Linked DNA regions of Macaca fascicularis. The protein of the gene in region 1 interacts with the protein of each later gene in a pairwise test. Links are inferred from orthologs where the notes say so. Each region holds a gene or a part of one and is shown in the gene's direction. Other genes may lie near its edges.

Region 1 (7,326 bases):
CACTGTTACGTGCATATAGTGTATTACGTTTTCCATTACTTTTCCAAGTAGTCAAAGAACAATGGTGACAGTTGCCTGTTGTCATTTGCTGTAGGATATATAGTGTGTCATAGACCTCAAAGCCTTTAGTGGGGTTCTCAAACGTGTGCTGTTATATTATCTGGACGACCTGATAAGAAATACGGGCGTCTAGGTGCCTCCCAGGAATTTTGAGTCTAAACTGAACCTCAAGACTTTTTTTTTTTTTCCTCCTCCAGTGATTCTAATGCTGGTGGTTCATGGATCACACACTTACTTAAAAAGTGGTGATGAATCATTCTGCTTCAGAAGTGCAGTCCATATTCACATTTCCTGTTTTCCTAAAATATTGGAATTAGCTCATTGCCTAGGTTGCCTTTGTTCAATTAGCCTTTTGTATGTTTTATTTTGTTTTAAAATTAAAAGCCTGGGCGCGGTGGCTCACACCTGTAATTCCAGCACTTTGGGAGGCCAAGGCGGATGGATCAGGAGGTCAGGAGATCGAGACCTTCCTGGCTAACACAGTGAAACCCCGTCTCTACTAAAAATACAAAAAATTAGCCGGGCGTGGTGGCGGGCGCCTGTAGTCCCAGCTATTCGGGAGGCTGAGGCAGGAGAATGGCATGAACCCGGGAGGCGGAGCTTGCAGTGAGCTGAGATCGTGCCACTGTACTCCAGCCTGGGCACCAGAGCAAGACTGCATCTCAAAAAATAAAGTTTAAAAAATTAAATTAAAAAAACAACTGTTATTATAATAGCAGTGTGTAGTACATTTTAGAAAGTTAGGAAATGGGGAGAAATATAGGAAATATTTTCCATCCTTCCAAGATTACCAAATGTTAACATCTTGTTATACATCCTAGATCTTTTTCTATGCTTATGTGCATTTTTTAAATCAAAATGTGATATTCTGATTGTGTTACCTTCTTTGATCAGTACAGCTTCTACCTTTCCATTAAAATAAATTTTCACATCTACTAATACTCAGTCCCTATTTAAATTTCATGTTTCCCTAAAAAGTCTTCTCCATCTGGCTTGCTCAAAGTGATCCAACCTAGAACTGCTTGCTGCATCTGATTTTGTCCCTGGAGTCTCCTTTAGGCTAGGACAGTGCGGATCCCACTTTACAACACTGCCCTTCTCCAGCTCTGTTGAATAATGTGGTTTCTACACACTTCCCTGTCATGGGGCCTTCCCCTGGGCTTAGCTGTGTGTTTAACAGTGCCGCAGTGGTGTTAACCTTCGTCCTTCTACGTTTTCCAAGGTCATAGACATGACAGGCCGGGAGCAAAAGGTCTACTACAGCTACAGTCAGATCAGCCACAAGCACAACGTTCCCGATGATGGGCTGCCGCTGCAGTCCCAACAGCTGCCACAGTCTGGCAAAGAGGCCAAGGCCCCAGGCTTTGCGCTGCCCGAGCTGGAGCACAACCTGCAGCTGCTCATTGACCTCACGGAGCAGGAGATCATCCAGAATGACCGGCAGCTACAGTATGAGCGGGACATGGTGGTCAACCTCTTCCACGAGCTGGAGAAGATGACCGAGGTCCTGGACCATGAGGAGCGGGTCATCTCCAACCTCAGCAAGGTCCTGGAGATGGTGGAGGAGTGCGAGCGGCGGATGCAGCCCGACTGCAGCAACCCCCTCACCCTGGACGAGTGTGCCCGCATCTTCGAAACCCTGCAGGACAAGTACTATGAGGAGTACAGGATGTCCGACCGTGTGGACCTCGCCGTGGCCATCGTCTATCCACTCATGAAGGAGTACTTCAAGGAGTGGGATCCCCTCAAAGTGAGTTGTTGGGAAAATCAACTTATCCCTGCCTCTTGGTTGGGCTTACCCTTGCTTGATGAGTTGGTCCAGTGGGCAGGGAGGGCTGGAAAGCCTGCTGCCCCTCAGCTACTCTGCCTTTCTCCTCAGGACTGCACTTACGGCACCGAGATAATCTCCAAGTGGAAAAGCCTCCTGGAGAATGACCAGCTCTTGTCTCACGGCGGACAGGACCTCTCGGCAGATGCCTTTCACAGGTACCACAGGGCAGGGCTCTGTGCTCCAGCTCCTTTCTGCTGGGGGGTTGGGAAGGACTGCTGAAGGTGGGGGAAGGCAGCAGTGCTAGCCTTGATTAATTCTCTGCTCATGCTGATACCGCTTTAGGAATTTAAATTCATTTGGCCATGAATTTATTTTATTTTTTATTTTATTTTTTTTGAAATGTTTTATTTCCACAGGGTTTTGGGGAACAAGTAGTATTTGGTTACATGAGTAAGTTCTTTGGTGGTGATTCGTGAGATTTTGGTGTACCCATCTCCTGAGCAGTATACATTGAACCCAATTTGTAGTCTTTTTTTTGTGAGACGGAGTTTTACTCTTTCGCCACGCTAGAGTGCAGTGGTGTGATCTCAGCTCACTACAACCTCCAGCTGCCTGGTTCAAGCAATTCTGCCTCAGCCTCCCGAGTAGCTGGGATCACAGGCACGCACCACCACACCCAGCTAATGTTTGTATTTTTAGTAGAGACAGGGTTTCACCATGTTGGCCAGGATGATCTCCATCCCCTGATCTCGTGATCCACCCGCCTTGGCCTCCCAAAGTGCTGGGATTACAGGCGTGAGCCACCGTGCCTGGCTTAATTTGTAGTCTTTTATCCCGCACCCCGTTCACCCTTTCCCCAAGTCCCCAAAGTCCATTGTGTCATTCTTACGCCTTTGCATCCTCATAGCTTAGCTTCCGCTTATGAGTGAAAACACAAGATGTTTGGTTTTCCATTCTTGAGTTACTTCACTTAGAATAGTAGTCTCCAATTCCAACCAGGTTGCTGCGAATGCCATTAATTCATTCCTTTTTATGGCTGAGTCATATTCCATTATATATATATGTACCAGTTTCTTTATCTACTTGTTGATTGGTGGGCATTTGGGTTGGTTCCACATTTTTGCAGTTGTGAATTGTGCTACTGTAAACTTGTGTGAGCAAATATCTTTTTCATAAAATGACTTCTTTTGTGTTTTTTTTTTTGAGATGAAGTCTCGCTTTGTCGCCAGGCTGGAGTACAGTGGCGTGATCTTGGCTCACTGCAACCTCTGCCTCCGGGGTTCAAGCAATTCTCCTGCCTCAGCCTCCCAAGTAGCTGGGACTACGGGCATGCACCACCACGCCCAGCTAACTTTTGTATTTTTAGTAGACACAGGGTTTCACCATGATGGCCAGGATAGTCTCAATCTCTTGACCTCATGATCCGCCTGCCTTGGCCTCCCAAAGTGCTGGGTTTACAGGCGTGAGCCACCGCACCCAGCCATGACTTCTTTTCTTCTGGGTAGATACCCAGTAGTGGGATTGCTGGATCAAATGGTGGTTGTACTTTTAGTTTTCTAAGGAATCTCCACACTGTTTTCCATAGTGGTTGTACAATTACATTTGGCCATGAATTCAGCTGACACTTGTCAAATGTCTGTTGAATATCATGCTTGTGCTAGGTGCTGGGCTTACCCTAGTACAGCAGACAGCCTCTGTCTTTAGTACAGCAGAAAAGGCAGATGGGAAATAAGGTAGTGAACAAATAAAGGCAGGATGCACACCAGGTACAGCGATAGAAAACTGCAGGAGCGACCTCCTTGGAATGGGGGTTAGGACAGAGGTCTTAGAGGAGGTGACATTGAAACTGTGATCAGAGGGTGAGAGATGTCAGCTCATGAATAGAAGCCTATAGGTGGGAAAGCACTTGATACCTAGGAAGAGACCCTTGTGACCCTAAAGCAGCTCTGCCAGGTGGGCGGGCACTGCCTACGAGACCAAGGCCTCAGTTCGAGAGGAGAGTCACGAGAACAAGGAAGAAGCAGGCTCAGGTCTGGCCAGCATGGTGACTGGCCTGATGGTTTCCTCTGATCGGATTTCCATGCTGTTGCATTTTTATTTCTGATTCTAGAGAGGTGGGCGGTGGTGGTGTTCTTTGAAACCAATCAGTGTAATTAACCAGCCTGTCCTCTGCCTTTCTCCCATAGGTTGATATGGGAAGTCTGGATGCCTTTTGTTCGAAATATTGTCACTCAGTGGCAGCCAAGGAACTGTGACCCGATGGTGGACTTTTTGGATAGTTGGGTGCACATCATTCCTGTGTGGATCTTAGATAACATACTGGACCAACTCATCTTCCCCAAGCTGCAAAAGGAGGTGGGGTGAGAGTCACAGGAACAACTGTCATCACTAACTACAGGGACTTGTTCAGTCTATGTCTTCATTATCTCAGTGCTGTTAAAATGCCTGGAATTAACAGAATTTGTCAACACAACTGTTGACCTAGAGTGTTAATTCCAGCCTTTTTCTCAGCACTTTTCCCCCCAAGCCACCCTCAGGAGGGAATTCATTTTCTTGATTTCTTCACTAAAATTAGAATTATGCTATTTCTGAGAGGTAATCAAATGAATGGGCATATTTGTTTGGCGATGTACAAAGGACCATGGGCCTTGGAGAGCATGGGGCCTCCTCCAGGGGCAGCTCTTGCCTTTAACCACACGGGTGTTATGTGACTGCCCAATAGGCGACATGAACTGTTTCTTCTGTTTCTTCTCCCCACATTGCAGGTGGAAAACTGGAACCCGCTCACAGACACTGTTCCCATCCACTCTTGGATCCACCCATGGTTGCCCCTTATGCAGGCACGGCTGGAGCCGCTCTATTCCCCCATCCGTAGCAAGCTGTCCAGTGCCCTGCAGAAGTGGCACCCCAGTGACTCCTCTGCCAAGCTTATCCTCCAGCCCTGGAAGGATGTCTTCACTCCTGGCTCCTGGGAAGCATTCATGGTCAAAAACATAGTGCCCAAGCTGGGTAAGGATATGGGGAAAATGCAGTCCAAGCCCAGCAGCTTTGGTGCCCTGGTTTCTTGGTCAGTGGTGATTTAAAGCATAGCCTTTGTATTCATGAAAGTGCTTAGTACACAATATTCCTTGCTGTTCAGAGGCTGAACATAAATGTAACTTGGGTCCTTTCCGCTGTTTGTTTACAACAGCGACTAATAGTTGACAGTAACAACATCGGACTCTGTGCCTTGTGGTTTTCCTGATTGGCTTTGGCTTCTGGTAACAGGACAGCCATTGGAGTTCTGAAATTTTTGTGGTATTTTATTCTAAATTATTAGGGAGTTATTTCTGGTTTAGCAAAAAAAAAAAACATATATATATATATATATATATTTTTTTTTAAGAATTGCTATGTCAGGAGCTTAAATTTGACCTTTAAAGCAGATTAAAGCCTGAGCAACATGGTTAAACCCCATCTCTACCAAAAATACAAAAACTAGCCAGGTGTGGTGGCATGTGCCTGTGGTCCCAGCTACTAGGGAGGATGGCTTGAACCTGGGAGGCAGAGGTTGCAGTGAGCTGAGATCTGCCATTGCACTCCAGCCTGGGCAACGGTGAGACCCTGTCTCAAAAAAAAAAAAAAAAAAAAACCGCCAGGAGCCGTGACTCATGCCTGTAATCCCAGCACTTTGGGAGGCTGAGGTGGCAGATCACCTGAGATCAGGAGTTTGAGACCAGCCTGGGCAACATGGCAAAACCCTGTCTCTAATAAAAACACAAAAATTAGCCGGCCGCGGTGGTGCACACCTGTACTCCCAGCTACTTAGGAGGCTGAGGCACAAGAGTCACTTGAACCCAGGAGGTGGAGGTTGTTGTGACCTGAGAGGAAAACGGACATTATCTTTGCTCTTTGTGCTTCTGTGGCTTTGCCAGTACTAAAGCTGTGCCTTATAGACCGGGTTTCTCTTCCAGGGATGTGTCTTGGTGAGCTAGTCATTAACCCCCACCAGCAGCACATGGATGCATTCTATTGGGTGATCGACTGGGAAGGGATGATCTCTGTCTCTAGTCTGGTGGGACTTCTTGAAAAGCACTTCTTCCCCAAGTGGCTTCAGGTACACTGTTTTGCTTGGCTTTCTGGGGGAGGGAACTGGGTGGGGATTAAGTTAATTTTCTGCCGAGGCCTGACTGTAGGTACAATTCCATAATAAAAATGAATTACATGGTAGGGTAGGAATGAGTTAGGTCATCTTAATAGTGGCCACCATTTATTGGACATTTGCTACGTATCAGAAGCTGTTCCAAGCACTTTATTTGCTTTATCTCAGCTCCTCGCAGCAACCCTATGGGGTAGGGGCTATGGTATCCCTGTTGTGTAGACATGGAAGCGGAGCTCAGAGAGTTTACATGCAAGGGCACTTTAGCTACCAGGCTGACTCCAAAATCCATATTCGTAAGTCCTAGACTGTTTAGCTACTATAAATCCCTGTAAAGTGGTGTCACTAGCCTGCAGGACCAGGATCAAAACAAAACAAATGGCCCCTTCGGAAATCTTGCCTTCATTTGTTGCCACCATGGATGCAAGTAATTTTTCTTTTTGGCAGGTGCTGTGCTCTTGGCTCAGTAACAGCCCAAATTATGAGGAGATCACCAAGTGGTACCTGGGTTGGAAGTCTATGTTCTCAGACCAAGTGCTGGCACATCCATCTGTCAAGGACAAATTTAACGAGGCACTTGATATCATGAACCGGGCGGTGTCCTCCAATGTTGGTAAGTGAGGATTCCCATTTTGGATGTCCTGGCCCTGAGTTTCAGATTTTACACATGTAAATGACACAGAATCAGAGTTTTCTGGTTCCTGTAGGCAGCCTAAACCTTAGGTCGTACTTTTGCCCATAGCAACAGCCTCTCACCCTGCTGATTGGGGTACATGGTCAGCTGGCACCCACTGCCCAGGTCTACCATGACTGAGAGGGGCATCTTCCCTAAGGAGACTGACTTAAGCTGGATTCAGATGTCAGTCTAACCCCAGGCCCCACCCTCTTAACCACTGTGCTGTGTGGCCTTTTAAGGCTCATTCAGCCCTGAACCCGCTGCCCAGGTCACACATCTTACAGTGTGGAGTTGGGTACACGGTCTTACACTTGGTGATTGCTCAGCCTTCATCAGCCCCATTTGACCTGTTAAACAGTAAGATCTACTTCATAGGCTAAAAGGGGGATTGAGTTCATGCTTGTTTGCAGCCTTCAATAGGTGGTGTCTGTGTTGTCAAAAACCGGCAGTTCACTCTTCATGTACTATATCTATTCCCAAGTTCTAGGCAAGTCATTCTGCCTAGATCATAAGTAAATGAAAGTATGTTTATGTTTCTACATTTGGGAGCCTATTTCAACCAGTCGTGTGCTCCAGTGTTGCTCATTAGCCGATTCACAGCATTGAAATGGGATCATCTAGTCTGTTTCACAGATAAGCCCAGTGAAGCTAAGAGCCTGTTCAAGGTCACATAGTTAAAGG
Region 2 (8,017 bases), on another chromosome or scaffold:
AGCCACCACGCCCGGCCGTAACATCACTTTTTGATTTGACTAATTTTGATTTAAAGACATGAGGTACTGGCTACAAACTTCATAGGGACCCCCAGATGATCTCATGATAAATGACACCAGACGATATGTTTTCATTTACATAACTTTACAGACAACTTAAAATGACAAATAAAGACATGTGTTTATTATGTAGAATGATGGGAATGATCACCACAATAACTGTAGTGGGTTGAATACTGTTCCCCAAAATTCATGTTCACCCAAACCTCAGCATGTAAACTTATTTGGAAATAGGGTCTTTACAGATGTAATCATTTGGGGGGCCTTGTGAGTAAATCATCCCGGATTTAGGGTAGGCCCTAAGTCCAATGACTGGCTGTCCTTCTAAGAAGAGAAAGGGAGACACAGCAGAAAACCCTGTGAAGATGGAAGTAGAAACTGGAGTGGTGCTGCCACAAGTCAAGGAATAGCAGGAGCCCCCAGAAGCTGGAAGAGTCCAAGAATTCTCCCTGAGAGCCTTCAGAGGAAACATGGACTTTCAGATAATTTGGTTTCATACTTGTGACCTTCAGAAATGTGAGACAATGAAGTTCTACTGTTTTAAGCCCCTAAGTTCATGGTAATCTGTTACAGCATCCCTAGGAACCTAATACAGACAAATAAAGGCTATGCTTATTATGTGGCACGATGGAGATGGCCACCAGAATAGCAAAAGGCCATGGCTCTTCTCCTTCCATTGTATACACAGAAAAGAACAACCCCCTTCAAAAGCAAAAGCAAAGGCTGGGCACGATGGCTTATGCCTGAAATCCCAACACTTTGGGAGGCCGAGGTGGGCAGATCACTTAAGGTCAGGAGTTCAAGGCCAGCCTGGACAACATCGCAAAACCCCATCTCTACCAAAAATACAAAAAGAATTAGCCAGGTGTTGTGACTCACACCTGTAATCCCAGCTACTCAGGAGGCTGATGCAGGAGAATCGCCTGAACCCAGGAAATGGGAAACAGAGGTTGTGGTGAGCTGAGATGGCAGCACTGCACTCCCGCCTGGGCAACAGAGTGATATGTCTCAAAAAAAAAAAACAAAGACTATTCAATTGTAACAGAAAGATTCAAGGGCAGATTTGCAGAGTGACCTTATCAAGTCTACATACTGAGAAAAGCTGGTAGAAAAGAGGAGGAACCCATTCTAAGGAACCTCTACCTTTCAGTTCCTCCAGTCTTGAGCTCCAGGGTTAGATGTTCCCTCAACGGCAAACCTCTGCTCTTGTTACTGTCATGGGACCACCACCAGCCACCAAGCATCAGTCAGCCCATCTTTCCATAATGTCAAGTCTAGGGTTTGTCTAATGTTTGCCTACCTGGAGATGTTGCCCCAACCACCACCACCAGCAAAAACAACCGGCACCCATCTTATACAGATAATTTCTTACCGAAGGAGTTCTAGAAATGCACGGCCCACCAAAACTCAGGGTAGGTCATGCATTTCTAGAGGAAGAAATGGCGATATGGAGAGAAAGCTTGTCCTAACCCACTTCTACCAAAGCAGGATTAAAGTCAATTTGAAAAAAAACACCCGTTTCTCCTTTTATATAAAAACCAAATGCAGAAACTATAAAAAGAAATCTAATAAGCTTGACTCTACACAAATACCAAAAGGCACTGTAAACAAAATTAAAGGTAACTGACAAACTGAGGAAGTATTTGCAACGTATATCGCAAGCTAAGTTTTCAAGCATCAAAAGTTCTTACAAAACCAATTTTTACAAAGATGAATGCCAAGTTTTAAAATGAACAAAAGACAGGAAAACTCAAATCACACAATAAGGACAAATGGCACGAAAAATATGGGAAAAAGTCTATTCTTCCTACTAACAAGGAAGTGAATACAATCAAAGATGCCAATTTTTGACAATAAAATGGGCAAAAAAAAAACTGTAAGAAAAAAGAGAATTTCCAATGTGGGCCAAGGATTGGAACGTTTGCTGGAAGGCAGTTTCCCTCTACCTTTAGAAAGCCTCAAAGTGGCCGGGCGCGGTGGCTCAAGCCTGTAATCCCAGCACTTTGGGAGGCCGAGATGGGCGGATCACGAGGTCAGGAGATCGAGACCATCCTGGCTAACACGGTGAAACCTTGTCTCTACTAAAAATACAAAAAACTAGCCGGGCGAGGTGGCGGCGCCTGTAGTCCCAGCTACTCGGGAGGCTGAGGCAGGAGAATGGCGTAAACCCGGGAGGCGGAGCTTGCAGTGAGCTGAGATCCGGCCACTGCACTCCAGCCCGGGCGACAGAGCCAGACCCTGCAACCTCACATGTAGGAATTTATCCTAAGGAAACAGTCAGGGGTGACGTCAAAGATTCATCTGCAAGGATATTCAACATGGCTTTGATACAGGAAAAAAAGTAAATAAATAAAAGGAAACAATGTAAGTCTTCCTAAATGATGCCAAATTCCTATGCTGTCATTAAAAAGCACCTACAACTCCATCATCTAGGTGATTTTGACTTTTGCTTTGGACATTTTGCCTGTACATTTCTAAATTCTCTATGCCAAATAATGCATTGTTTTGTCATCAGATTTTGTTTTACAAAAACAAACCAAAACAAAAAAACCGTCTTTATGACACGGGGTTAATAGGGAAACTGTGCTTCCCAGGCATTGACCAGGCGTCTACACCTGCTGCCTAGCAGCCCTCGCTCCCGGTGCGGCCACGGGGGCAGGCAGGGCGCCGAACAGGGACGGCAGGAGGCTTGTTTACAGACGTCTACACAAGCAACTCACTTCCCCGAACCGAAGAAAAACGCGAGGCCACACTGACCTCCAGGCCAAACACGCCCCTCCCAGCCGCGGCGTCCGCTTCCCGAGTGCGCATGCGCGCGCCCAGCACCCTCAGGCCTGCGCGTCCCAGCAGGCCTCGCGCACGGGTTTCCATGGCGACGGGCCGCCACTGCGGCCTTGCTGCAGTCGCGGGAACCGCGCGGAACAGGTAACGGCCCAACTGCCGCCATCGTCCGCCGCAGCCGGTTGCCCTGTTACTGCCCCAACGCTGGTCCCGTCCGGACGCGCCTGCTACGCTCTTTCTGGGCTTCCGGTATCGCCGGTCACTGCGTCCTCGCCCCTGCCTGCCTCGCTGGCGCCTGGCCGTTTCCTCCTCGCAGCGCAGTCTGGCAAGGAACAGCTACTCCGGCTCGGCAGTGGCCGGGCGCCCCGGCGACACACGTACTCTCAGGCCCGCTGGGCAGGGGGGACGCCTGGGCCGAGGTGACCGAGCGCGCCCGGGGCCGCGCCTGGGTCCGGCAAGGGGGCAGAGGCCGATCTCACCGCCGCCCCACCGAGGGACTTTCGGGTTTTTCTATCTGAATCTTCTATCTGACCTCCGATTTTGCCTTTGCTTACTTGCTGTTTTGCTTGGGATTCGTTTTTCTGGCATCTCCCTATGTCGCAGGAATCTAAATCTTTTGAAATGTCTTCTCTGTGTATGTCCCCCACTCGCCCAGTCTCGGGACTCTTTATCCACACCCTTTCCTCAGCGTGTTAACATCTCGTTGCCACACTGAAGCCAACGGTTAAGTTTTTTAAGAGCCCAGTTTTTTTCACGGCTGAATGTGAGCTTGAGCCTTTTTGCGTCTCCTCTCAATCCCTAGATGAACTCATCCAGTCTCCTGTACTCAGAGCCTATCTGAATGCCAGTGAGCCCCAAGTGTGCATTCCCAGCCCTCGCCCCTCCCCTGAACACCAGACCCCTGCATTCAGCTGCCTGCCACATCCCTACTTGGATGTCTACAGCATCTCAAACGCAGCTTATCCAAAATAGCTCTCAATAATTCCCCAAGCCAAGCCTGTCCTCCCACAATCTTAATCCGCCATAGTTGCTGGGAATTCCATTCTCCAGTTGCCCGAGCCTTGTATCCTGCTTGAGTCCTCTTTTTCTCTTCCTCACCTTCAGTCTGTCAGCACTGCCTTCAAAATGCACCCGAATAGATTCACAGTTCTACCATTTCTCTCAACCCCCACTGTCACCACCTTGGTCCAGGCCCCCATCATCTGGTGCCTGGATTACTTTACTTGCTTCCTAATTGGTTTCCCTGAGTCTGCCCCTCCCCCACTTGAGCATGACAGCCTTAATGCTATTTCCCGTTCTCTGTTATTTCGTATGAATAAGTTTTTTAAAGGATTATGTAAATTACAATTTCCTTATATAAATTACAATTTCCGTAGATAAAAGTGCAATATTTTCAGTATGTATTTTGCACATTGCAACTTTTAAACCGGGTAAACAAGTCTACATAAGCATCATGCTAACAAGCTGACAATGTAAAGATGCGCCTTAGCTGTGTTAGGTATATATATGACAGTGCCCCTGGAACAGAACTATGGCCAGAGCTTTACAAGGGACTGTCCTGAAGAACAAAAGAATCCAGAGCCGGGCCGGGCGCGGTGGCTCAAGCCTGTAATCCCAGCACTTTGGGAGGCCGAGACGGGCGGATCATGAGGTCAGGAGATCGAGACCATCCTGGCTAATACGGTGAAACCCCGTCTCTACTAAAAAAATACAAAAAACTAGCCGGGCGAAGTGGCGGGTGCCTGTAGTCCCAGCTACTCGGGAGGCTGAGGCAGGAGAATGGTGTGAACCCGAGAGGAGGAGCTTGCAGTGAGCTGAGATCCGGCCACTGCACTGCAGCCTGGGTGACAGAGCAAGACTCCGTCTCAAAAAAAAAAAAGAATCCAGAGCCTTCTTCCCAGTGCAAAGACAGGAATCATGTAGGAGTTTAAGCTCTTCCTTTTTTTATTTTTTAGAGAAGCACCAAAAGAGGCAAACTGAGATGCAGACAAATGATCATCCGTATGCTGATCATTTTGATAGTAAGTACCTGGGTGCTGATACGGCGATCAATGTGACAGGTCCCTGCCCTCAAGGAGCTAAGGTCCCTACATAACTGTACCCTTGCCAATCTCTCTCTTTTTTTTTCATTTTTTTGAGATATTGTCTCACTCTGTTGGCCAGGCTGGAGTGCAGTGGCATCATCTCGGCTCACTGCAACCTCCATCTCCCGGGCTCAAGCAATTCTCCTGCCTCGGCCTCCTGAGTAGCTGGGATTACAGGTGTGCACCACCACACCCAGCTAATTTTTGTATTTTTAGTAGAGATGGGGTTTCACCATGTTGGCCAAGCTGGTCTCAAACTCCTGACCTCAGGTAATCCGCCCGCCTCGGCCTTCCAAAGTGCTGGGATTACAGGCATGAGCCACCACGCCTGGCCCTACCCTTGCCACTCTCTTAAACCCTATCTTTTCTCTTTTGCCGTCAGGTAAAACCCCAATTAACCAAAGTAACAGAGTAGGATTGCCACAGTTAGCTGAGGGTCTATAGGAGATTGCATTTCATAAATGACCACTTTACTCAGATTTGATCTCCCACCACACCCTTGTGCTGTCACTTCATAGAGAAACTTGAAGCTGTCACATGGGAATCCCCTCATTCTTCAGCTGCCAAAACTGCAAGCCTTACTTATATCTGTTCCTACCTTCCTTCCTCCTCCTAACCAAAGCCACTCCCTCTCTGTGCTTTGGATCCCATCCCTTTCCACTCGCCAAAAACTCTACACTGTCAGGTATGCATTCCCTCTCCCGTATCATCACCTATTCCATCTCAGCTGGCTCTGCCATGGTTCTGAAGCATGTTGAAGTTTCCCATCACAAAAGAGGAAAAAAAGAATCTCCTATGACCCCACATTCCCCTTCAGTTTCCAGTTATTGTCCAATCCCTTATCCCTTTCGACAGGCAAACTTTAAAGAACTGCCTTATTCGATACCTCTGTTATTTGTCTCTCACTCCTCAGCCAGCCTGGCTTCCCTCTTCATCTCTGCTAAAACAAAAACCGGGAATGAGACATTTCCAGGCCTCGTCTTGCTCAGTCTCTCAACAGCATTTGAAACTGCTGCCCCCATTTCACTCTACAAACACCGTCTGCCCTTGGCTTCTGTGACCACCCCTGTCTCTCCTGCTTTTCCTGCTGCCATTCTGGCTCACCCTCCTCTCCCAGGCTCCTTAATATTGGAGATCCTCAAAGCTCGGCCTCTGTTCCCATTTTGTTCTCCATTGCGCCCCCTCATCTAGCACAGGGCACAGATTCACACGCACAGCTTTAAGTTCCAGCTGTGTGCTCTTGACTCCCACCTTTCTCCAACTTGACCTTTTCTCAGCTAGACTCGTACATTCAGCTAGCTGCGTGACAGTGTTTCTTAATATCACTCAGTCTCCTCCAATTCAACATGCACAAGACCAAACAACCCCACTTCCCAACCCCAGCTGGGACCTCTTCCATTGTACCCAGGATTCCTCCTTGACCGTTACCACACCCCAACACCCAGTGAATCCTTAAGCCCAGGTGAGGTTGTCTCCTGGGCATCTTTCACATCTCTTCTTTGTCGTGGATGCCTAAGTCCAAACTACCACCTTCATTCAGCCTGCTGCAGTCCTGTACCAGCTGGTCTCCCCACATCTCTGGCTTTTCTCGATTCTTCACCACCCTGCAGCCAGAGTAACCTCTTCAGAAGGCAGAGCTGATTATGCCATCCCTCCCCACCTCCCTCTTTTGCTTACCGCCAGCTTCCCATTGCCCTTGGATTAATGATCCACATCATAGGCACGCCTTCCCAAGGACCTGCAGCTGCTCACCCCCGCCTGCTTCTCAAGACTCATCTGAAACGGCTGGCCCTCCTCACTGGGCTTCAGCCACATGGGCCTCCTCCACCCACCAGGCCTTGGCATTCTTTTCTCTCTGTCTGCATTGTTTTTCCTTCCTCCCTCTCATCCTCTCTTGCCTAGTTAGTTCCCACTGACCCTTCCTATCTCAACTCAGACATCACTTCTACAGGGATAACTTCCCCGATCACTGTCAGGATCAGTTTCACCTTCACAGAGTTGTATCTCCTTCCTTGAAGACACTCGGGACAGTCACTATTATGATTAGTTCATTACAGAAAGTCCCACAAAAACAGAAACATTTGCTGTTTGTGTTCATCACTGTATCTCCACACCCCACAGTGCCTGACACATAGTAAGCACGCAAATGGGTGCTGAAAGAATGAATGAAATGAACATTCTAATGTGTAAGAGATACTAAGTGCCGTGTGTTTTAGAACAATTCTATTAAAATAGAATGAAACTCCTAGTAAAAAATAATCAGGCAAACACCGAAAATTAAAAAGAATGTTGTGGCAGGGTAGCTAAAAACGGGTACTTGGGTAAGATTTGTAGCCCTTTACTCAGTGTGGTACATTGCATTTGCCACCACTTGGTGGAAGTAGAGAGGCATGGGTTCTTACCATGAAGGTGACTGGGATGTCAGTCTGCTAGTGAATTCAAACATTTGTTCTAAAATACATAAAGTTGTTAAATTACCAAAACCTGCATAGCATAGCTAGTCTGTAACCATCCAGACTTTGAACGTGGCACATTTTCATGTTATCAAATAAACTTGAAATTTCTGATATATATAGGTATATTTCATTTATGAAATTTAGTGCTAGATGTCACTGAGAAATCAGCCAATTTCTTGCCTGAGACATTTGAGGCCTACTAGCTAGTTGTATTGGCAGAACTGGGAACATACCTTTTTTCTTCCAGAGTATACTGCGTCTCAATCAGTGTTTTGTTCGTCTGTTTTTTCAGTTTTGAAACTGGGTCCCACTCTGTCCCTCAGGCTGGAATGTGGTTGTGCGATCACAGCTCACTCCATCACTGCAGCCTTGACTTCCTGGGCTCAGCCTCCTGAGTAGCTGAGACTGTCACACTGGCTAATTCTTTTTTTAGGAATGGGGTCTCACCATGTTGCCCAGGCTGGTCTCAAACTCCTGGGCCCAAGTGATCCACCTGCCTCAGCCTCCCAAAGTGCTGGGATTACAGGTGTGAGCCACCACACCAGGCCAATCAGTGTTAAGAATCATAACCTCCCTTTGTCAATGTTTAGAGTGACTTGCATAATTTCTGAAGCAAAAAATTGGGACACATAATCG
Region 3 (8,065 bases), on another chromosome or scaffold:
GTATTTATGTGCAGGTTTGCCGCTTTTCTTTATCAATGTGATCAAGCTAAGGAATTTAAGAGTCACAGATTTTTACACAGCCATATTGATATATTAAAGACAGACATACCTGATCAAATCTGGTAGCAAAGAGATTGAGTGAGGTCACTATGCCGCCATTGGGTCCAAGTCCATATCTAGACACCAAGTTGAGGACTGAAATCGCTTATAGATTAGATTATAAAGTTCACACCCAGGCTATCATTCACACAAAACAGCATTATGAAATTAGTGTTCCATTAATGAATATTGGCAACCTAATCCGTGACTACCACACAACCTTAACCACACAGGGAAACATTCAGTATCAAGGTCTGGCTCACTCATTTATGACTTTAGGAATGGCCAGGCAAAATGAAGAAAGCAAAGTGACCAAAATGTAATACAGGTGCATCAGGCAGTGACAGCTCCCTAGCACTGGCCATGAAGGCCACCTGTATAACACCTCCGGCTCTGATCCTCATAAACAAATTAAGCAGAGTACACATTTCACAAAGCAATTTACTAAGAGTTAATCCAACTAAACCCACTCATTTCTGAGTTTCCCAGTCTAAAGAGGTGGTGACCAACAGATGATCCTCCAAGGCAAAATACTACCTTGTGGGACCCAGGTAGCTGTCAGTTATCCTATCCTACTCTCTGCTCTTTAATTACAACAGCCTGCCATCTGGGGAGACAGTAAAAAAACTAAAACCTCAAGCTGAAATAATATTTCTGATCACCTACCTCTGCCACAATCAGCTTCCATCCTTTTGCTTGTATATTTCACAGGGAAAAGGCAAAAACACTCTTTCAAGCCACAAAATACACAGAAACGAAGCCAGGAATGAGTCAAGACCAAAGTAGATGGAAAAGGATACTGTTTCATGACTTCTTTATACTTTACAGTGTCACGAATATCTGAGGAGAAAGAAAAGAATTAACTGGAATGTAATACATGCACATTCCCTACCAGCAGGAAAGTGAAACTGGCCTTCTAGCCTTCTCTTGTCAGCATTCTCTTCTACCACCTCCACTTTCACACTGGTTTCCTTCCTTACAAAGAATAAATGTCAAGTAATTCATGAAGAATGTTAGGGCTAGGAGCTCTAAAGTTATGGTAGAGAGTTTTGTCTCCACAAAGTGAGAAGTTTCACACAAGTTAAACACGTCTAGAAAAAGGGAGGCAAAAATCAAGGGGAAAAAAAAGCTTCTTACTAATTGCCTATTACTAACAAACGCAATGCAAAGGCAATGCAGACATGATTTTTAAAAAGGAATTAGGCTGGGCACAGTGGCTCACACCTGTAATCCCAGCATTTTGGGAGGCCAAGGCAGGAGGATCACTTGAGCCCAGGAGTTCAAGACCAGCCTGGGCAACATAGAGAGGCCTTGTCTCTCCAAACAAAACAAAACTAGCCCAGCATGGTGGCAGGAGGCTGAGGTGGGAGGATCACTTGAGCCTGGGATGTTGAGGCTGCAGTGAGCTGAATCACGCCACTGCACTCTGGCCTGGGTGACAGAGACTCTATAAAAACAACAACAACAACAACAAAAAAAGCCTAAGCTGTTTAGGAACTCAAGCAAATCCAAAGGAAATGAAAGTAGATAGTTTAGAAAACATCAAAAAAGAAGGCACTGAAGACTGGCAGGCTGGAGAGTCTGACTCTATTGCCTAGGCTGGAGTGCAGTGGTGCTATCTTAGCTCACTACAACCTCTGCCACCCGGATTCAAGCAATTCTCCTGCCTCAGCCTCCCGAGTAGCGGGAATTACAGGCATCTGCCACCGCGCCTGGCTAATTTTTTGTATTTTTAGTAGAGATGGGGTTTCACCATCTTGCCCAGGCTGGTCTTGAACTCCTGACCTCTTCATCTACCTGCCTCGACCTCCCAAAGTGCTGGGATTACAGGGGTGAGCCACTGCGCCCGGCCTTTTCCATTCTCTTTAAAGCACTTCACACAAGTTATGTTACCGGTTTACTCACCAATATTGGCAGGAAAGGGAACTTCATGTACTGCTGGATCCAGGTTGATCACATAAGGTGGAGTGCCTTGGGCATGCAGGTGTCCTGTGAGCCTCTGCAGAGATATGGGGAGAAGGTTGGAAGGAGACAAAGAGGGGACAAGAGAGAACTTCCTTTACCACCCATGCCTTAAGAGTTTTGCACTTAGATTTTCTTTTACCTGAAATATCCACCCACTATATCCAACACCAAGATACAACTCTCAGTTCAAATGCTACCTTTCTTCATCACCCATCTAACAAAACTTCCCCTACTCATAGTCACTTGTTTACTTGTTTTGATTCTTCGTATGTGGGTTTTCTCTATCTCCTCCATTAAATATTTAGCCCCATGAATGAATCTTGTCAACCTAATTTTCGCTATATCCCCAGTGAATGGTACATAACAGGCGTGCAAGAAATAATTCTTCGGCAAATCTTCACCAAAACCTGTGTGCTAGCACTGTATTAATCTCTAAAGTTACTTGTAAGCCCCTGCCTTCAAGAAACTGGCAATTTTATCAGCAAGACAATTCCTGTACAACGTGGTAAGCTGACCGAGTATGCACTGAAGGTGCACAGAAGACAGCCTTAATTAACCTGGCTAGGGCCCGAGGAGGCTTTGCCGGGGAAGGAACTAAAGTTGATGGGAAACGACCGAAACCCATGCGCCGATACCCTCCAAATCCTCGGAGACCTCCCTCCCTTTCTCCCTGGCCTTCCGCCTGTCGGAGGCAACCTTTTGCGCTCCCCTACTACACCCACGCTGTGTACGTCACCTGTACAAAGGTGGTTTTCCCGGATCCCGCCATTCCCAACACCAACAGACACACTGGGTGCCGCGGACCCCCAGAAGCCTGGGGCTCAGCTGCAGCTGCGGGCGCCGCCATCTTCCTCCTGGCCCCGCCCACCTGACCATAGAGACACCGCATGGCTAGAGAAACTTCCGCGATGTTCTGGGCAGCGAACGAAAACAGAACCAAAGCGTCAGAAAGGAGCGTGAAGGGGCGCGGTAGTTGCCAGGGCATCTTCTTAGTATCGGGCAGGGCTGGTGAGCCAACTAGTGACAGTGGCGAGGAAGTGGGGGCGCTGAGCAAGCGAGAGGAAGGCTGAAGGGAGCTAGGAAAGGGCTCTGATCTCTGCAGCCTGGGAGGGCTTTTGTCCCCAGGGGGAAGGCGAGAAGAGATGGGGTCCCGAGGGCAGGACTCACACAGCAAGAAAACAAGGCGCATGCCTCTCATTTCGAGCCCGCAGAGAGCGGGGAGCGGAGCCACTGGAGGACCGGCTGCTCGGGTTTATTCGGTAGCCGAGGCGGTTAAACAGTTCAGGGCTGGACCAGCCAGGACTGGAGCAGGGTGCAGCCTCCAGGGTTGCTGGGCAGCACCGAGACCCTTTGAGCACCGAACGGATAAACTACGGGAGTTTTCCGCACTTGCACGTTGTTCCCGCGAGTTGCAGGCGCAGGTTCCTGATGCTAGCGCTCATTCCTTGGTAATCACCCTCGGTGAACTACGCAGTTGCCGTGACCTTCAGGATGAATGCTTGGATTCCAGGTGCGAATAGGTACTGGAGGGGAGCTTCCTTCTCACTGAAGGGCTCTCAGAAACTCAGGAAAGATGATGAAAGAGCTTAGAAAAGTATTTCTACTCGCAACCACCCAGTCTGTTTCTGTGGCCCTTTGTAGCTGCTAACAGTGTTCAGTAAGTCATAAGATCTGGCTTTCATACCCAGGCTCTGCCACTTGCTAGTGGTGTGAGTCATGGGCAATTCACTTAAACTCTCTGAACCTGTTTTCTCTTTTTAAAACTGAGATAGTACCTCCCAGGGTTGTGGTGAACGCACGTTGTAAATGATGAGCTAAATCCGTCATCTTTTACCACTAGCTGGATTCCCCTCACCTTGCATAATGTCTGGAACATTCTGGGTACTCAGAAATATTCTCTGGTATAAATAAAGGACAGTTCTGCACTTCCTAAAGTTTCATCAACTGAGAGAGGAATGTCTCATTTGTTCTTTCAGGTTTGCTGAGGGCCCCAGAAGGCTCCTTCCACCGTATCATAGGCTAATAAATAATTTTGTCAAGCCAGAGAAGCTAACAAAGGTGGAGACAATCCTTAAAGAAAAGATAGTGGCGGAAATGACGGTTCTGAACAAGCATATAAAACAAGCTCAAATCCAGCGGGAACAGCTACTGGAGGAATACAGGGAGCTATACCAAGAAAAGTTACTTGTCCAGGCTGAAAACAGGTTCTTTCTGGAATACCTGACTAACAAAACTGAAGAGTACACAAAGCAACCTGAGAAGGTATGGAACAGCTATTTACAACAAAGTGGAGAGATCGAACGAAGAAGACAAGAATCAGCCTCCAGATATGCAGAACAAATTTCAGTGCTTAAAACAGCGCTCTTGCAAAAGGAAAATATCCAATCCAGTTTGAAGCGGAAGTTGCAGGCAATGAGGGACATTGCTATATTAAAGGAAAAGCAGGAGAAAGAAATACAGACATTACAGGAGGAGAAAAAGAAAGTCCAAGCTGAGACAGCTGCAAAGACACGTGAAGTACAGGCCCAGCTCCTCCAGGAGAAAAGATTACTGGAGAAACAACTGAGCGAGCCAGACAGGAGGCTACTGGGAAAGAGAAAAAGAAGAGAGCTTAATAAGAAAGCCCAGGCCTTGAAGTTGGCAGCAGAGCGGTCTATTTTTGAATACTCCTGTGGCCTCAAAAGAGAGAACCAGCAGTTCAAGAAGGAATTACTGCAGCTAATTGAGCAAGCCCAGAAACTAACGGCTACTCAAAGCCACTTAGAAAACAGGAAGCAGCAGCTGCAGCAGGAACAGTGGTATCTGGAGTCCTTAATCCGGGGGAGGCAGAGATTGCAAGGAAGTCATAATCAGTGCCTAAATAGACAGGATGTTCCAAAGACCACACCCAGTCTTCCCCAAGGCACCAAATCAAGGATTAATCCAAAGTAACTCCTCCTAAAATAACACTGATTAGATAACTGGAGCAAGTACTCTTAAGTGCTACATTAACCTGGTTAGGAAGGCTTTTGGATTCCAGATTGTTATTGTAACATCTCCATCATGAGTGTTAGAGTGGAGGATTAGATGATCCAACAGTCCTACTAGATATTTGGTAACCAGCTTCCCTTAACTAGTTTTTTCTTGAAATACTCTCGTTAATAAGATATTCCACAAACCTCTAGTTAACCTAACACATGACCCTAACCTAGCCATTTACCATACATCAAACTAGCTAAAGGAAACCAACCCGAGGAAGTGAAAACAGTTGTGATTTATTTCATCTAACTAGATTTCTTTATAGAGAAAAAGTACCTTTAAGGTTAGCATTCCAAATAGACTGAATAGCGTTCTGCTCAGTAAATAACCAGTATCAGTTTATCCTCATTCCTTTTGACCGACTTAGCAGACAAAAGCAGTTTTTATAAGATTTTTGTAAGTTTGTGCCAGTGACCAGGTAGCTCCTAGTTTTCTCATGAGCGAAAAAGCATTCTGATAACAGCAAGTCCAGTAAGTGCTAGGCAGAGTGACCTTTCATCTGATGTGAAGCCCCTACAAGTTTAGCTTTAAGTAAATTGAGAAGGTAAGAGAAGATGAAGGAGACATCTATTAGGTCAGCTCTTACATTTGAAAATGTTTTCTTTGAAGAAACATATGTAGCATGGAGGTGACTGAATGCCTCCCCTTATTTCAGGAAAATGTATCCAAAAAAAGTTGAAATATTTGGACTTTTTAAAAAGTGTCATCCATTTCCCTAGCAGCATTCTAAAAGATAGAAGTAAAATGATGTTTATTATCCTAAGTGCTTTAGTTTTAGGTCATTTATTAATTTTCTTACAGGTGCACTTTCTAGTACGTGAAGTATCTTTTGTAATTAACGCATGCCATGTTTATTCCCATTTAGTAGAACTATAAATTATATTTTAAAGTATATATTTTTAGGATAGTTATATATTTTGGGGGGGTTCTGCGACATTGAAGTTGGGACTAGTTATTTGAATGCTGAATCCCAGTATAGGAATATAATCTCACATTTTAATATGGGTCCTCTATGGGAAAATAGGATCAACTTTGTTTCCCAGAAATTGTTAGTGATGAAAAACTTCAAAATAATTTTCCTGAATTTTCAGCTTTATTTACATGTAAAGTGAATTCCCTTAAAATTGGACTTAAAAAGGATTCTCCTTCAATATGTCCTTACCTTCTAGCTTTAACAACTTTTCTGTTAAATATGTAGTTTATTAAACATTAGTAAAAACATTTATCCACTGATTTTATTACTGTTCCAATGTAACACATTTTCTGCTTCATCACTCTATTACCACTCTTAAATGTCTTACACGTGCAAATAATAAAAACTAGTTTTAATGCAGAAATTAGGATTTTAGCATGCAGGTGCTTTAAATTAAATCTCAATTTGTGAGCTGAAAATACAGAAACACGGAACAAGGAAAGCATGGTATCCAAGACAAACTTGAAGGCTTATTCTCTGTGGATGTAAAAACCCTAAGACAATATATTTCTAAGGCTGATAAAAAGTTGTAAAGTAGGAAGCATATTAGTTCTTCTGTTAATTCCCCTCCTGCCACTGGTGTCCTGATTATCTAATTCAGGAGTGGGTAACTTCCACCTGATCTCAGTTCATTTTTACTTCTTATCATCCCAGATAATGGATATGGTATACTGCTTGTGGCTGTCCCTTCCAGAGTGAAGGCTTGAAGACATTAAAAGTTGAATGATAACTGATTTCATACCTTGAAATCCATACCTCTAAGTGAGCAGCAAGTTGGCCAACTAAGATTTCAATCTACATTTTGTCTGCTTTGCTATTTAGAAAATTACACAGGGTTAAGAAAGTGAATTTAGATGGAAAATACCTCTGAGGTGAAATTTAAGACCTGCTATGATTGCTAAAATGAAGCCTACAATTGAAATGAAGCCCCTGCAAAAACTGGGGAAGAAACTATTCTAGGCAGAGGCAACAGTGAATGCAAATGCCTAAAGATGGCAATAAGCTTGGTAGGTTCAAGGAACAGAAAGGTGTGTGTATAGTTGGGGAATGGTCAAAGAACAAGGGTGGAGGCTATTAAGGCTAGCAGGAGTTATGAGCACAGAGACGTAGACCGAGGGCCTTTAGCAAGTGAATGAGGTCTGATTTCAATTGTTAAAAACTACAGCTGTTAGGTGGAGTGTATCCAAGCCAGAAGAAAGTGGAAGGAAACCAATTAGGAAGATACTGTAGTCTAGGCAAGAGGTAATGATGGCTTAGATTGGAATGGCAGAAGTACAGTGAACAGATTCAAAATGTAGTTGGTGGTAGACAGGACTTGCTAATGGGTTTGCTATGAGAAGAGAGAGAGGAATCAAGATGAAGCAAGAGTAAATTTCTAAAATGTTCTCTTTTAAGGAGATGTACGGAATTTTTTTTTTTTTTAAATATTTTTTGAGACAGTCTCACTGTGTCACACAGGCTGGAGTGCAGTAGCATGATCACAGCTCATGGCAGCATCTCGATCTCCTGGACCCAAGCAGTCCTCCCATCTTAGCCTCCCAAGTAGCTGGGACTATAGGTGCACACCACAATGTCCAGCTAATTTATTTATTTTTTGTAGAGATGAGATTTCACCACATTGCCCAGGTTAGTCTAGAACTCCTGAGCTCAAGCGATCCTCCAGCCTCAACCTCCCAAAATGTTAGGATGACAGGTGTGAGCCACCATGCCCGGCCCCAGACATTGAGACATATTCATGATGATACAAGAAACCCTACTCAATTTTGTAGCTTGTATTCTACTGTATGACTATATCGCAATTTATCCATTCTGATAATGGATAATTATTGTGTATTAGAGCAGGCTGACAAGAGACCCAAGAATGTATAATGTCTCAAGTAACAGACATTTATTTCTTGCTCACTTAATAGTCTCAGATATATGTTCCTGGTTGGCAAGCAAGTGGCTCTCCTTCAAGAGGTGATTCAGGGAGTCAAGATCCCTTCCATTTTGTGTTCTTCCATTTCCTAG

The links. The genes of interacting proteins can lie anywhere in the genome.
Region 2: the proteins of TFIP11 (region 1) and LCA5L interact in binary tests that used the Homo sapiens proteins (3 or more experiments, as listed by UniProt). The two-hybrid records come from large-scale screens. The link is inferred for Macaca fascicularis from reciprocal best matches to the Homo sapiens genes TFIP11 and LCA5L.
Region 3: the proteins of TFIP11 (region 1) and CCDC121 interact in binary tests that used the Homo sapiens proteins (3 or more experiments, as listed by UniProt). The two-hybrid records come from large-scale screens. The link is inferred for Macaca fascicularis from reciprocal best matches to the Homo sapiens genes TFIP11 and CCDC121.

Annotation. Positions count from the first base shown.
Region 1 is NC_088384.1:25,183,855-25,191,180, forward strand, and holds part of TFIP11 (tuftelin-interacting protein 11), read left to right. Parts: intron 1-1,282; coding exon 1,283-1,810; intron 1,811-1,939; coding exon 1,940-2,046; intron 2,047-4,017; coding exon 4,018-4,186; intron 4,187-4,596; coding exon 4,597-4,840; intron 4,841-5,784; coding exon 5,785-5,927; intron 5,928-6,416; coding exon 6,417-6,582; intron 6,583-7,326. UniProt on the Homo sapiens protein: Involved in pre-mRNA splicing, specifically in spliceosome disassembly during late-stage splicing events. Intron turnover seems to proceed through reactions in two lariat-intron associated complexes termed Intron Large (IL) and Intron Small (IS).
Region 2 is NC_088377.1:7,532,614-7,540,630, forward strand, and holds the start of LCA5L (lebercilin-like protein), read left to right. Parts: upstream 1-2,921; 5' UTR 2,922-2,985; intron 2,986-4,796; 5' UTR 4,797-4,862; intron 4,863-8,017.
Region 3 is NC_088387.1:94,603,228-94,611,292, forward strand, and holds CCDC121 (coiled-coil domain-containing protein 121), read left to right. Parts: upstream 1-2,969; 5' UTR 2,970-3,206; coding exon 3,207-3,574; coding exon of another isoform or gene 3,575-3,584; intron 3,585-4,040; coding exon 4,041-4,995; 3' UTR 4,996-6,303; downstream 6,304-8,065. Other genes in the region: GPN1 (GPN-loop GTPase 1), read right to left, coding at 110-176, 900-939, 2,005-2,098, 2,801-2,911.